Callithrix jacchus: one gene and its partners. The protein of the gene in region 3 interacts with the protein of the main gene of each other region in a pairwise test. Links are inferred from orthologs where the notes say so. Each region holds a gene or a part of one and is shown on either strand. Other genes may lie near its edges. The genes, in order: CABP5, THRA and CEP76.

What was found.
Region 1: the proteins of CEP76 (region 3) and CABP5 interact in binary tests that used the Homo sapiens proteins (3 or more experiments, as listed by UniProt). The link is inferred for Callithrix jacchus from reciprocal best matches to the Homo sapiens genes CEP76 and CABP5.
Region 2: the proteins of CEP76 (region 3) and THRA interact in binary tests that used the Homo sapiens proteins (3 or more experiments, as listed by UniProt). The two-hybrid records come from large-scale screens. The link is inferred for Callithrix jacchus from reciprocal best matches to the Homo sapiens genes CEP76 and THRA.

What each region holds. Positions count from the first base shown.
Region 1 is NC_133523.1:41,886,164-41,890,533, forward strand, and holds the start of CABP5 (calcium-binding protein 5), read right to left. Parts: upstream 2,908-4,370; 5' UTR 2,762-2,907; coding exon 2,699-2,761; intron 998-2,698; exon of another isoform or gene 952-997; coding exon of another isoform or gene 889-951; intron 238-888; coding exon 207-237; intron 1-206. UniProt on the Homo sapiens protein: Inhibits calcium-dependent inactivation of L-type calcium channel and shifts voltage dependence of activation to more depolarized membrane potentials. Involved in the transmission of light signals.
Region 2 is NC_133506.1:71,671,141-71,675,215, reverse strand, and holds the start of THRA (thyroid hormone receptor alpha), read right to left. Parts: upstream 2,886-4,075; 5' UTR 2,754-2,885; intron 1-2,753.
Region 3 is NC_133514.1:49,812,077-49,815,722, reverse strand, and holds part of CEP76 (centrosomal protein of 76 kDa), read right to left. Parts: intron 904-3,646; exon of another isoform or gene 790-903; intron 591-789; coding exon 402-590; intron 1-401. UniProt on the Homo sapiens protein: Centrosomal protein involved in regulation of centriole duplication. Required to limit centriole duplication to once per cell cycle by preventing centriole reduplication.

The DNA of each region.
Region 1 (4,370 bases), on a different chromosome or scaffold from region 3:
ACTTGAGGTTGGGTCTGCCTTCTAAATACTTTGGGAGGTACTTAAACTGCCACGAGAAAGAGTTCCACAAGATTACAGCTGAGTGGGAAGAGGCAGGGACTGTAAAAATTCCATGTAAAGGAATTTATTCAGAAATGCACAAAGGGACTGAGGGCAGGTCAGGTGGGTGGATGGCAACGTGGGGCAATTGAGGAAGACGGTGTTACCTTCGATCTCATCTTGTCCCAGTGGTCTTTCCTGGAAAGGAATGCAGGTGAGAGGGAATTTAGAGAGAGGGTCACCCATTCCCCAAACGGGTCCCCTTGCTCTCTCAAGCTCCTCCTCACCCTCTCGTGGTTCTCTTCCCACTCTCTTTCTCCTCCTCCATCCCTCCCATTTCTTTTCTCATCTCCTCACTCCTACTCCACAGTTCTTGGCTCCCCACCCCTCTGGATTCCTCGCTCCTATCCACGAATGCTGATCTCCCTCATTCCCCCTTTCATGGGCAAATACCCATCACATTGCATCTTAACACTGCAGAGTCCAATCCCCTCCTTCTCCAGATGAAGAAAGTCAGAGTTCATAACCACAGCTAACTCGTTCAGAGTGCTGACTCCGTGCCAGGCGGTTTCCACGATTGTTTCATTTAAACCTCAGAACTGCTCTGTGATTCGGATCTACGTCTCGTTTCCATCTTACCCACGAGACAGCTGAGGAACAGAGAGGTTAAGGAGCCTGCCCAAGGTCACACAGCTCACAAGCGGCAGATCCCCTCCCAAGGTGGGGAAACATTAAATTACTCCCTGGAGGTCATGGGGCAAGTCAGGCACAACTTTGGGATTAGAATTCAGGGCTCCTGACTCTGAAGTCAGAATTCTTCACACTAATCCCCATTAACTCTTTTCTCACCTGCCTCCAATCTTCCTGCCAAAGGTTACAATCCCTGTGCATGGAACCAGCATTCAATGGCATTCAGGCAGGAGGGTCAGTGCCAGTACGACCAACTCCTAAACACTCTGAGAATTTCCAGTTGCCCCACCTACTCCTGGACATACCTGAAGGGTTGGGCTTAGATAGACATGACATGTTAACAAGGAAATTCTAATGGCCTCTCACCCCCTCATCTCCCTTTATCCCAGAGCCTTTCCCTCAGCTTGTCTTTCATCTCATCCCCTCCCTGCGATCCCTTATTTCTCTTTTTTTCATTTTCTTTTTTTCGTGATCTTAAAGCCTAACAATTAAAACATATCCACATATCTGGACAAGTTGGTGTATATGGAAAAATTTAGAAATTAATTAAATTAAAAAAAATTTTTTTAAGCATGCCCACAGGAATCAAGCAGACCTGACCCTACCATTTACTATTTTTTTTTTTTTTTTGAGACAGAGTCTCACTCTGTTGCCCAGGCTGGAGTGCAGCGGCATGATCAGGGCTCACTACAGCCTCCACTTCCTGGGCTTGAATGATCCCCTTGCCTCAGCCCCCTGACTAGCAGAGACTGCAGATGCATGCCACCAAGCCCAGCTATTTTTTTTGTTTGTTTTGTATTTTAAGTAGAGATGGGATCTCTCTGTGTATCCCAGGCTGGTCTCGAACTCCTGGACTTAAGTGATCCTCCTGCTTCTGCCTCTCAAGGTGCTGGGATTCAGGTATGAGCCTGTACTTGGCCAACCCTGCCACATACTAACTGTGTCAGCTTAAGGCAAAGGACTTCATGACTCGGAGCTTCACTTTCCTCACCTATAAAATGGGAATGAAAGTCACTGACCTCCCGAGTTGTTCTGAGGCATAAATGACATCAAACGTGCAAATCCCTTTGCACAGTGCTGGGCAATAAGCAATGACTTAATAAGTGGCAGCTATTGTTATTAACATCATCATCATCACCATCACCATCACCATCATCACCACCACCATCACCACCACCATTATCACCACCACCATCACCACCACCATCATCACTATAATCACCATCGCCACCACCATCATCATCACCATCATCACATTCATCAACACGATCATCACCATGACCATCATCACTATCACCACCACCATCACCATCATCACCATCAACACCATCATTACTACCATCACCATTATAATCACCATCACCACCACCACCATCACCATCACTACCACCACCATCATCACCACCATTACCACCATCATCACTATAATCACCATCACCACTACCACCAACACCATCATCACCATCACCACCACCATCACCATCAACACCATCACTACCACCATCATTACTACCATCACCATTATAATCACCATCACTACCACCATCACCATCATCACCACCACCATCATCACTATAATCACCATCACCACCACCATCACTACCATCACCATTATAATCATCACCATCACCACCACCATCATCACCATCGTCATCACTGCCGTTATCACAATAAGCATCCATAGAAAAGAATGATGGTAATCTCAACAATGACATCATCTCACTTCCCTGATTGTTTTTCTTCCCTTTCTCTCCTTCTCTTTGCTCCTGACTTCTGATTTTACCCCCACCCATTTATCTCACTGGCTTACATGACCCCATGAGGGTCCTTGGAATTCTTGTACCTTCTCAGTTCCTGCTCTATCCACCTGTTCCCCTGGTTCTGTAGCACCATCATGTCCCCTTCTTTGTCCCACACCTCTGGTCCGCTTGCCCTGCCCACAGCCTTTCCCCTTCACTCCCCACCTCACCCTCTGTTTATCAGCGATGCCTTTCCTCAAGAAGATGCAGGCGGGGCCCATGGGAAACTGCATGGAGGGGTGGGGTGGAGCTCGCAGGGCACCAGTCTCAAGATGCTCCTCCTCCCTGCTCCTTGTTGGAGCTCAGCCTCCTTATCTTCTCTAGCACTCCTTTGCCACCTCTTCCTGCCTCTCCTGGCTTCTCTCTTGGTCCCTGTGTCTTAGAGCTGTGACAGCTGGGCTGAAAATCTCCACCCGGGTTGGGGAGGGATCAGAGCTGTCCCTGCCTCCCCATCTGGCTTGAATGATATGGGTAGGGAGAGCCAAAGTCAGGCTCTGTGACTCCTTTATCCCCAGAGTGGAATTGGAAGGTGCATTTTTAAAATGGGGTTTAGAGGCTGGATGCGCTGCTCATGTCTGTAGTCCCAGGGCTTTGGGAGGCTGAGGTGGGAGGACTGCTTGAGCCCAGGAGTTTGAGACCAGCCTGAGCAACATACAGAGACCTTGTATTTATATATATAAAAAACTAAAATAAAAATTAGCCTTGCATGGTGGCACACACCTGTACTCCCAGCTGTTCCAAAGGCTCAGATAGGAGAATTGCTTGAGCCCAGGAGTTCGAGGCTGCAGTGAGCTATGATTGCATCATTGCACTCCAGCCTGGCTGACAAAGTGAGACTCTGTCTCGAAAGAAAAGAAAAGAAAAGAAAGAAAGAAAGAAAGAAAGAAAGAAAGAAAGAAAGAAAGAGAAAGAGAAAGAAAGAAAGAAAGAAAAAAAGAAAATTGGCTCACTGCAACCTACTTTTTTGTATTTTTAATAGAGACGGGGGTTTCACCATATTGACCAGGCTGTCTCAAACTCCTGACCTAAAGTGATCCGCATGCCTCGGTCTCCCAAAGTGCTGGGATTACAGGCGTGAACCACCGCGAGAGTCTCTGTTTTTTACCATTTCCCTGCACTGCCCCCTGCCGCTCAAAAGAATAAACGCATATGCAGGCAAGAATGAATCAGTTCCCATTTCCCTAGGAGGGGAAACCGAGGTCGAGGAGCTGGGCGGGGAGACCCCAGCATCCTCTGACCTCTTTCCTTACCTCCCTGTCCCCGCCCGCAGGTGAAGCTGGTGTTCGTGGAGGACCAGGCGGTGGTGGAGACGGTGTTCTTCCTGACGTCGCGCACCAGGGCGCTGCTGCGGCGCTTCCCGCGCATGCTGCTGGTGGACCGGCTGCCGGGGCTGCAGGGCGCGCTGGATCTGCTGGCCGTGCTGTGCGTGGACGGCGCGGGCCGTGCGCGCCAGGCTGCCTGTTGCGTGGCGCGCCCGGGCACGCCGAGCCTGCTGCGTTTCGCGCTCGCGTCGCTGCTGCAGAGTGCGCCAGACGTCAAAGGCCGCGTGCGCTGCCTCACCGCCGGGCCGGAGGTGGCGGCACAGCTGCCTGCCGTGCGCCAGCTGCTGCCCTGCGCGCGCGTGCAGATCTGCCGCGCTCAGGGCCTGGAGACGCTCTTCAGCAAGGCGCAGGAGCTGGGCGGCGCTGGCCGCGAGGACCCGGGCCTGTGGTCGCGCCTGTGCCGCCTGGCCGGCGCGTCGTCGCCCGCCGCCTACGACGAGGCGCTGGCCGAGCTGCACACCCACGGCCCGGCCGCCTTCGTCGACTACTTCGAGCGCAACTGGGAGCCCCGACGCGATAT
Region 2 (4,075 bases), on a different chromosome or scaffold from region 3:
AGGGTGCCCACAGAACTGGTCTGGCTGCCCGAGGGGCAGCATGGGCAGTGGCTGTCCCCCCTCCCTTTCCCCATTCCCAGTCCCTAAAACTTGCTGGCCACAGCTGCAGCAGTAAGGAAGTGCAGGAAGTCCTGAGCAGCCAGCTGAGCCCACCCCCCTGGCCCCCCACACCAACCTTAAGCTGACCCCAGAGGCTGCCTGGTGTAGCGGGTGGGGGGGTGGGGGGGCAGAGGGGCGGAGATTGGGTATTAACAACGGGAAAAGTATGAAGAACATCACTGCCAGTCCCCAGCTCTGAGACAAGGACAGGGGTAGACAGGGGTAGCGACAGGATGAGAGAGAGTTACAGACTGGCAGAGAAGGGGAGAGAGAAAGAGAGAGAGAGAGAGAGAATCAGACACTGCAAGACAGAGCAACAGAAAGAGAGAGTTAGAGAGAAATTCCAAGTCAAAAATACACATCACTCATGCAGACAGTCGCCAGCCGATGGCCTCTTAAGGAAAGCTTCCAAGTTTGGGTAGCAGGGTCCAGGTGACAAGAGGGGCGGCCAGACTCAAGGTGGGATGCAGGAACTCAGCTGGGGGTGACTGAGTGTTCCCAGGAAAGGCCCGGGCAAATGACTCAGAGCATGGGCAGTTTGATATCCCTGAGCTTTTCGGGATGAGTGCAGCTCTCCCCTCACCCAGAAGTCAAGAGAATCCCAGCTTCTAGAAGTCCCTGGACATGCTCTGAGCCCCATACTCGGCCTTCTGGAACCCCCCTGCACCCTCCGTCTTTGCTCTTGTTTCTCTGACCCTCCAAAAGAAAATAAAAGTAAAAAAAAAGCCCATTCCCACAGAGTGGCTGGGCCTAGAGGAAGAAGGCAGGAAGAAGCTGAAAGGGAAAAGTCTGTGATTGTGTGCATCTAGGTGTGTGCTTGGCTGCACAGGCTACAGTTGTGTGCATCTGGAATTATGTGGACACGACTGTTTGTGTGGACCTGGGCCCTGTGAACTCATTCTGTACCTGAGTTCAGGGGCCCATGTGCAAATGAGTGCACCTGTGTCCGCAGGTTCCACAGTCAATCAACTAACAAGTAGTTACAAAGCAGCCATTGTGCTAGGCTCTGGGTGCGATCCGGAGCTCTTCAAATGATTCTCCCAGGTCTCCAAGAGCTCACTGTCTAGTAGGGTTGGTATGTCAAGCAACAGAGACCAAAAACATGTCATCGGGAATGCATGCTTTGCACCATTACGCAGCAACACCTTTTCATACAGCCAAATTTAATTTTCTTGGGAGCAAGGGTTTTCTTGTCTACAGAACCTCAGAGCTCCACAGTAAGAGTCCAGGAAAATACTTGTTGCTAAGTTGTGTATACATGTGTTGATGTATAACTGTGTTTGCATCTGACTGAGTGACAGCTACTGTCACGGCAAGCAATGATGACTGTGTGACTGGGCTTATGTGAGCACGTGTGTGCCTGTGAGTGACAGGGTCTTTTGTAATTGTGCGGCTGTGTGCAATTGCTCTGTGTGCATGCATGCATGTGACAGTGACTTTTTCTGTGTGGGTGACAGCAACTCCTCCTTGCCCGTGTGTGACAGCCTCTCCGTGTGACCCTGTGCGTAGGTATGTGCCATGGGTCGGTCTCCATGCTTTTGGTCTCCCGTGGGTATGTCCCACCCCCTGAGCTCCAGGGTGCAGCAGCAGCCTGCCTCTTCCCTTGTCCCCATGTGGGTGTGTCCAGCAGCTCCTGTCCTTGAGTCCGCCTGGGTGTCCCTGGGTATGCCTGTGGCTGTCTGTGTGGACATATCTCTGTGTCTGCGTGTCACTTTTGCTTTCCCCCCATCTTGGACAACAGCCCCCTTCATCCCCTCCCCCTCTTGGAGATGAAGCCAGCACTGAGGGGCAGGCTCCCATCTCACTGGCTTTCCTTCTGTGTCCCCCACCCCCACCTCTGGACCGGTGGCTCTTTCAATTGCCCCTGTCATCCCCCCAGGCCTTTCTTTCACGCTGGGCAAGGGAGGGCCCCAGATGGAGAAGGGGAACCAGAGACACGTTGCAAGGGGAGGGAAAAAGGTGGGGTACACACACACAGGTCCATTTCTCCCTCTCCTCCCCAGCCAGCAACTCTCCTAATCATCTAGGCACCATCAAGTGCACCCCCTCCACACACACATTCCCCCCAGCAGCAGCGTTTTTGCAATTAGAGTGTTGCAACCAGACAGCCATGCTCCACTGGAAGGCGGGTGAAGGGGGGTAACTTCCCTCTCCCTGGACCCATGCAAGCCCACCCCCGCCACCGCACTCATACTGCCCTCCGCAGCTGGAGGCAGCTTTGCAAAGGCTACTCGGCCTCAAAGGCTAGGGGTGGGGGCTGGGGGGGGCAGGCCTCCGACGCACCGTAAACAAACCGCGGAGCGGCGGGCGGGGGAGCTCCGGCGGCCGGCAACGGGGCTTGGCCCGGGAATGCGCAGCAGGCTGGCCGGACAGAGGCCGGGCGGGACGTCGAGGGGGAGGCCCGGACGCCATCTCCGCCTGCAAACCCCCGGGCCCACCGACCTCCAAGCAACACCTCCCTTCCCCAGGGCGTCAGCTGCAAGCTCCTGGGCTCGTGACAGGGTCACTGGGGCGCCGGGAAAGGCTGAGGCTGACAGCGGGTACGCCCTGGGCGACCCTGGCCCGCCTGGGAGCTGGCCACGGAGCCCCGCGGCTTTGCATAATCAATCGCGAGGCATTTGCATATTAATGCCCCCTCGCTCCCTCCTCCTTACCTCGGCGTGGCGCGCTGGACCGGGCTGGGCAGCGACGCGGGGGTCTCAGCGCCCAGTGCCGTGGGCGTCCATGGGGGGCCGGTGGGGCCCGGGCCGCCCGCCTCCTGCGCCCGGGTGTGAGTGCGAGTGAACGCGGGGGGGGGGCGGGGGGCGAGTGTGGCGGCCCCGCGGCTCCTCCGGCAGAGGCGGCGGCCGCTCTGGCTCCTCCCTCCCCCGCCCCGCTCCGGCTGGGGCTCGGGCTCCGCGCGCCCGGCCGGCTCGCGGCTGCTCCCTGCAGGCCGCCTCGCCACCGCCCGCCCCCGCCCCCCGCCCCCTGCCGCGCCCCGGGACCCCCGCCAGCGGCCCGGCAGCCCCTCGGCCGCCCCTGCCCCGCCCCGCTCGGACTCACCCTCCCCCGCCGGGCGGCTCCCGCAGGAGTGGGTACTTGGTGACATATTTTGGAAGAGATGTCATTAAAAAATAGCCTTTGCTTGCCGGGAGAATTGGGGGTTTTCGGGTTTGCACCATGGGGTGGGGAAGAAAGTACCGAGGAGCCGCCTGCACCTTACACATGAGGAGAAAGCCTAAACACCAAACGCTTGCAGGTGTAGAGTTTGTTTAGGAGTTCGGGTCCCTTCTCCGCCAGTAACTCACTGTGTGACCTTGACAAACCACCACTGCTGTCGGGGCAGAGCTTCCTCAAGCTTCAGCCGCGAAGGCTGGGCAGATCACCCCTGACGTCCTTTTAACTTCAATCATCCTGTGTTTTTAATCCTTGTGTGGGCTCAGTACCTCCCTCCCCTCTCATTTCTAACATCGATACCGATCCACTGCCTCCCCTTTCCAACATCACCCTTCTCCATATAGGCTCTTTCTATTCTCTGTCACCAGCCATTTCCCCAACAATCTGCTCCCTCTCCTCACCTCGGGGAGGGGACAAGATTTGCCATACCCCCTCAATTCCTAGCTCCTGGGTGGTGGTATTTCCCCCCGTGTTTGCTCCCACCAAAATCCAAATGGTACCAGAGTCAATCTAAGGAAGCCGGTGGGCTGCATACAAATGGACCCCCTAATCCAACCCAAAGGAGAGGTTTCCACTGTGCCAGCCCCACCCCCAGCACACATACACACACACGCAACACACACACACACAACACACACACACACACGCATCTGCAATTCATGGACATAAAACCAACCCAGTGACGCCAGAGCCCCTTTCATCTCGGGATCTCCCAGTTCCAGGCCAAGCCCTAATTACCCCAGCACGCCCCTGGCCCCGCCGGTTCCCCTGCTGTCATTAGCCCAGTTTTACCAGTGGGGGCCACAGCCTTCCCACGGCT
Region 3 (3,646 bases):
AGGCACCTGTCCCAGCTACTTGGAAGGCTGAAGCAGAGAATTTCTTGAACCCTGGTGGCAGAGGTTGCAGTGAGACGAGATCACACCACTATACTCTAGCCTGGATGACAAAGTAAGACTCCATCTCAAAAAAAAAAGAAAAAACACTCAATACAATGTAAATGCTATATAAATAGTTTTATACTTGTTCTTTATTTGTATATTTTTTATTATGTTATTTTTTACTATTATTTTTATAAATATTTTTGATCTTCAGTTGGTTGAATCCACAGATACAGAACCCGCAGGTAGAGCGGGCTCACTATATGTACATTTTCCTAAGGCATTCCTTTACAAATGTATTATAAATTTAGAGTAACTATGATATACTGCTATTTAATTCTATTATGTGTGTATAATACCTTGTTTCTACAGAGAAAGGCCAGCAGAGTGCACCACTGCTCCTGTTTACCTCCTCCTCCAATAACAGGGGCTCGTTCATAACCAAGGACATTAACAAATCTTGCTGCTTGCCTTGGAGTATCAAGAAGCCGTCCAGCTCTAAGTGGTTTAACATAGGAACAGACTGGTCTATTTATCCCATTTTCATCCTAGGGAAAAGGGAAAAAATATCGATAATGACATATTAATAATCCCCAATAATATTTTTTTTTCAAATACATTAATGTAGGATAAAATAATTCAGCATACCATTGAGTGCTTACCTTGTATCCAGTATTAGGTTGCAAAGTGCTGTGTATATAATTTCCCTTTAATCATCATAACATCTCTATTATTTTCATTTGACAGATAAAGAAAACTGAGGAGCTACAGCTATTATGCAGCAGAGCCACATTTAAGCCCTGAGCTGTCTGACTCCAAAGGCTGTGGCAATAAGAAGTCCTCTGAGAAATGGGTGGGCAGGTATGTAGGGGAGGGAGAGGTGCTCTAAACTGAAGTATCTTTCATATTCCCATATAGAATCTAACAATTGGCTGCTGTAACAGAAATGATCATAGCTTGAGTCTAGTTTGTTTCCATTAGGGCCTCAAATTTAGAGATCCACAGGAAGCAATAATTTGTTAACCAGGTCAACTAAAAGCAAAATTTCAAAAAACGCTCTAGAAAGTTTATTCTAAATACAGGATGTATCTTAGTGTTGGTGATGAATAACTGGTGTGCATATAAAGGTCTCTGATGACTGTTTACAGTTAGTATTACCAAAGCCCACAATCTGTTTACCTTCATGATTACTGATAAGGCAATGTGAAAGGCCCACTTCAATGTGAAAGGCCCCATCTTCAAGATTTGGAGATGACCCACCCTCTACTCTGATAGGGCTCCTTAGGACATAAGATCTAACTCAGCCAACAGAAACATCATCTGTTTGAATTATCAGAACCACTAATGTCTTTCTCCACAACCAAAACATCTTTTTCCAATATAATCCCATACTTTAGCAAGGAAAAAAAAATCTCACTTATTTACATTTGATCATAGTGAGAAAGATCATGATTTTTTTTTTTTCCAAATTAAGTTTTGCTCTTGTTGCCCATGCTGGAGTGCAATGACTTGATCTCAGCTTATCACAACCTCTGCCTCCCAGGTTCAAGAGATTCTCCTGCCTCAGCCTCCCGAGTAGCTGGGATTACAGTCATGCACTATGATGCTCAGCTTATTTTGTATTTTCAGTAGAGGCAGGGGTTTCTCCATGTTGGTCAGGATGGTCTTGAACTCCCGACAGGTGATCCGCCCACCTCGGCCTCCCAAAATGCTGGGATTACAGGCGTGAGCCACCACACCCAGCAAGATCATGAATTTTTATGTTGCAGAGCAAATTGGCTCTAGATTCCACTCATACCTATAGTGCTCAACTCTAGAAAGCAGCAATTTTTTTTTTTTTTGAGACAGTCTCACTGTTGTCTAGGCTGGAGTACAGTGGCATGATCTCAGCTCACTGCAACCTCTGCCCCTCAGGTTCAAGCAATTCTTGTGCCTCAGCCTCCTGAGTAGCTGGGATTACAGGTGTGAGCCACCACACCTGGCTAATTTTTGTAGCGACGGGGTTTCACTCTGTTGACCAGGCTGGTCTCAAACTCCTGACCTCAAGTGATCCACCTACCTCAACCTCCCAAAATGCTGGGATTACAGGTGTGAGCCACCATGCCTGGCCTAGAAGCACCAATTTTTTAAAACAGAGGATTATTATTTGAATTTGAGGGGGATGTAGAGAACTATGTTTTTCTTTTACATTAATTTAGCATTATTAATAATCTAGTGTTATATGAGAATATTGTCCTGAAATCACAAACCAAATATTAAAAGGATATCCTCAATCCTCAAGTGATTTACAACATTTTCTTAAAACCTAGGAGCCTTAAAGTTCAATTTCTGTAACTTAAAGTTTCTTGCACTAAAAAATTCAAAAGGTGTCATTCAGTGAATTACTATTAAACTATAGCAAAACCAGCTAACAAAGGATAAAAATAATAATGAATTATTAAGTATTATGGCCACAGTGAATCTAGATCTTTGGTTAGGATTGAGGTAATAAACCAGTTCCTGTGTGGGTCTGTTACTCCTATACTTACAAATCCACTAATAGGCAAGAAAAGATGAACACATCAAAACCCTATGCATTTGCCTAAATCAGTCATCAATAGTAGCATTTTAGAATGTAACATGTATCATTGTTTCATTACAGCAATATTCTAATATTATTCTAAATACAACCCCACAAGTTATTTAAGTGTTTTGAAAATTTAATATTTCAACCTCTGAACAGGCACTGTCTGATAAGAAAGTCACTAACCATTATGAGCTATTTAAATTTTAATTAAAATTAAATAAAATGGCTGGGCGCAGTGGCTCAAGCCTGTAATCCCAGCACTTTGGGAGGCCGAGGCGGGTGGATCACAAGGTCAACAGATCAAGACCATCCTGGTCAACATGGTGAAACCCCGTCTCTACTAAAAATACAAAAAATTAGCTGGGCATGGTGGCGCGTGCCTGTAATCCCAGCTACTCAGGAGGCTGAGGCAGGAGAACTGCCTGAACCCAGGAGGCAGAGGTTGTGGTGAGCCAAGATCGCGCCATTGCACTCCAGCCTGGGTAACAAGAGCAAAACTCCATCTTAAAAAAAAAAAAAAAAAAAATTAAATAAAGTTTAAAATTCAATTTTTTTTAGTCATAATAGCCACATTTTGAATGCTCAGTACATGGCTTGTGGCTACAATACTGGTTAGCATAGACACAGAACATTTTCATCGTTGCAAAAAGTTCTTTACTTTTAGTGTTGCCATTCATTAACTTATTTCCTTTTGGGCCTGGATACATTGGAAATTTTTTCAAACCATGTATATTAATGTTTTGGTTTATAACTATGGCTTTTATAATTACATTGACTGCTTTAAACTATCGTTCTTTAACTTCATAACTAGTCAAATATAGGAAGCAGCAGCAAGAAACAGTTCTGGGGAATCTAAAATCAGCATTTTATTTACTGTATGTATATGGAAAAAAGTGACACAAACCAAAAAGGCACCAGTTGAAACTGCAATTTAATATAGACTTTGCCGTGACTGAGTTGCTGTTTGGCCTTGGAAGACTCTTCACTTCTCCAACCTTCATACTGTTTACAAAAAGAGCCAATGCCTGGCCACCTGAT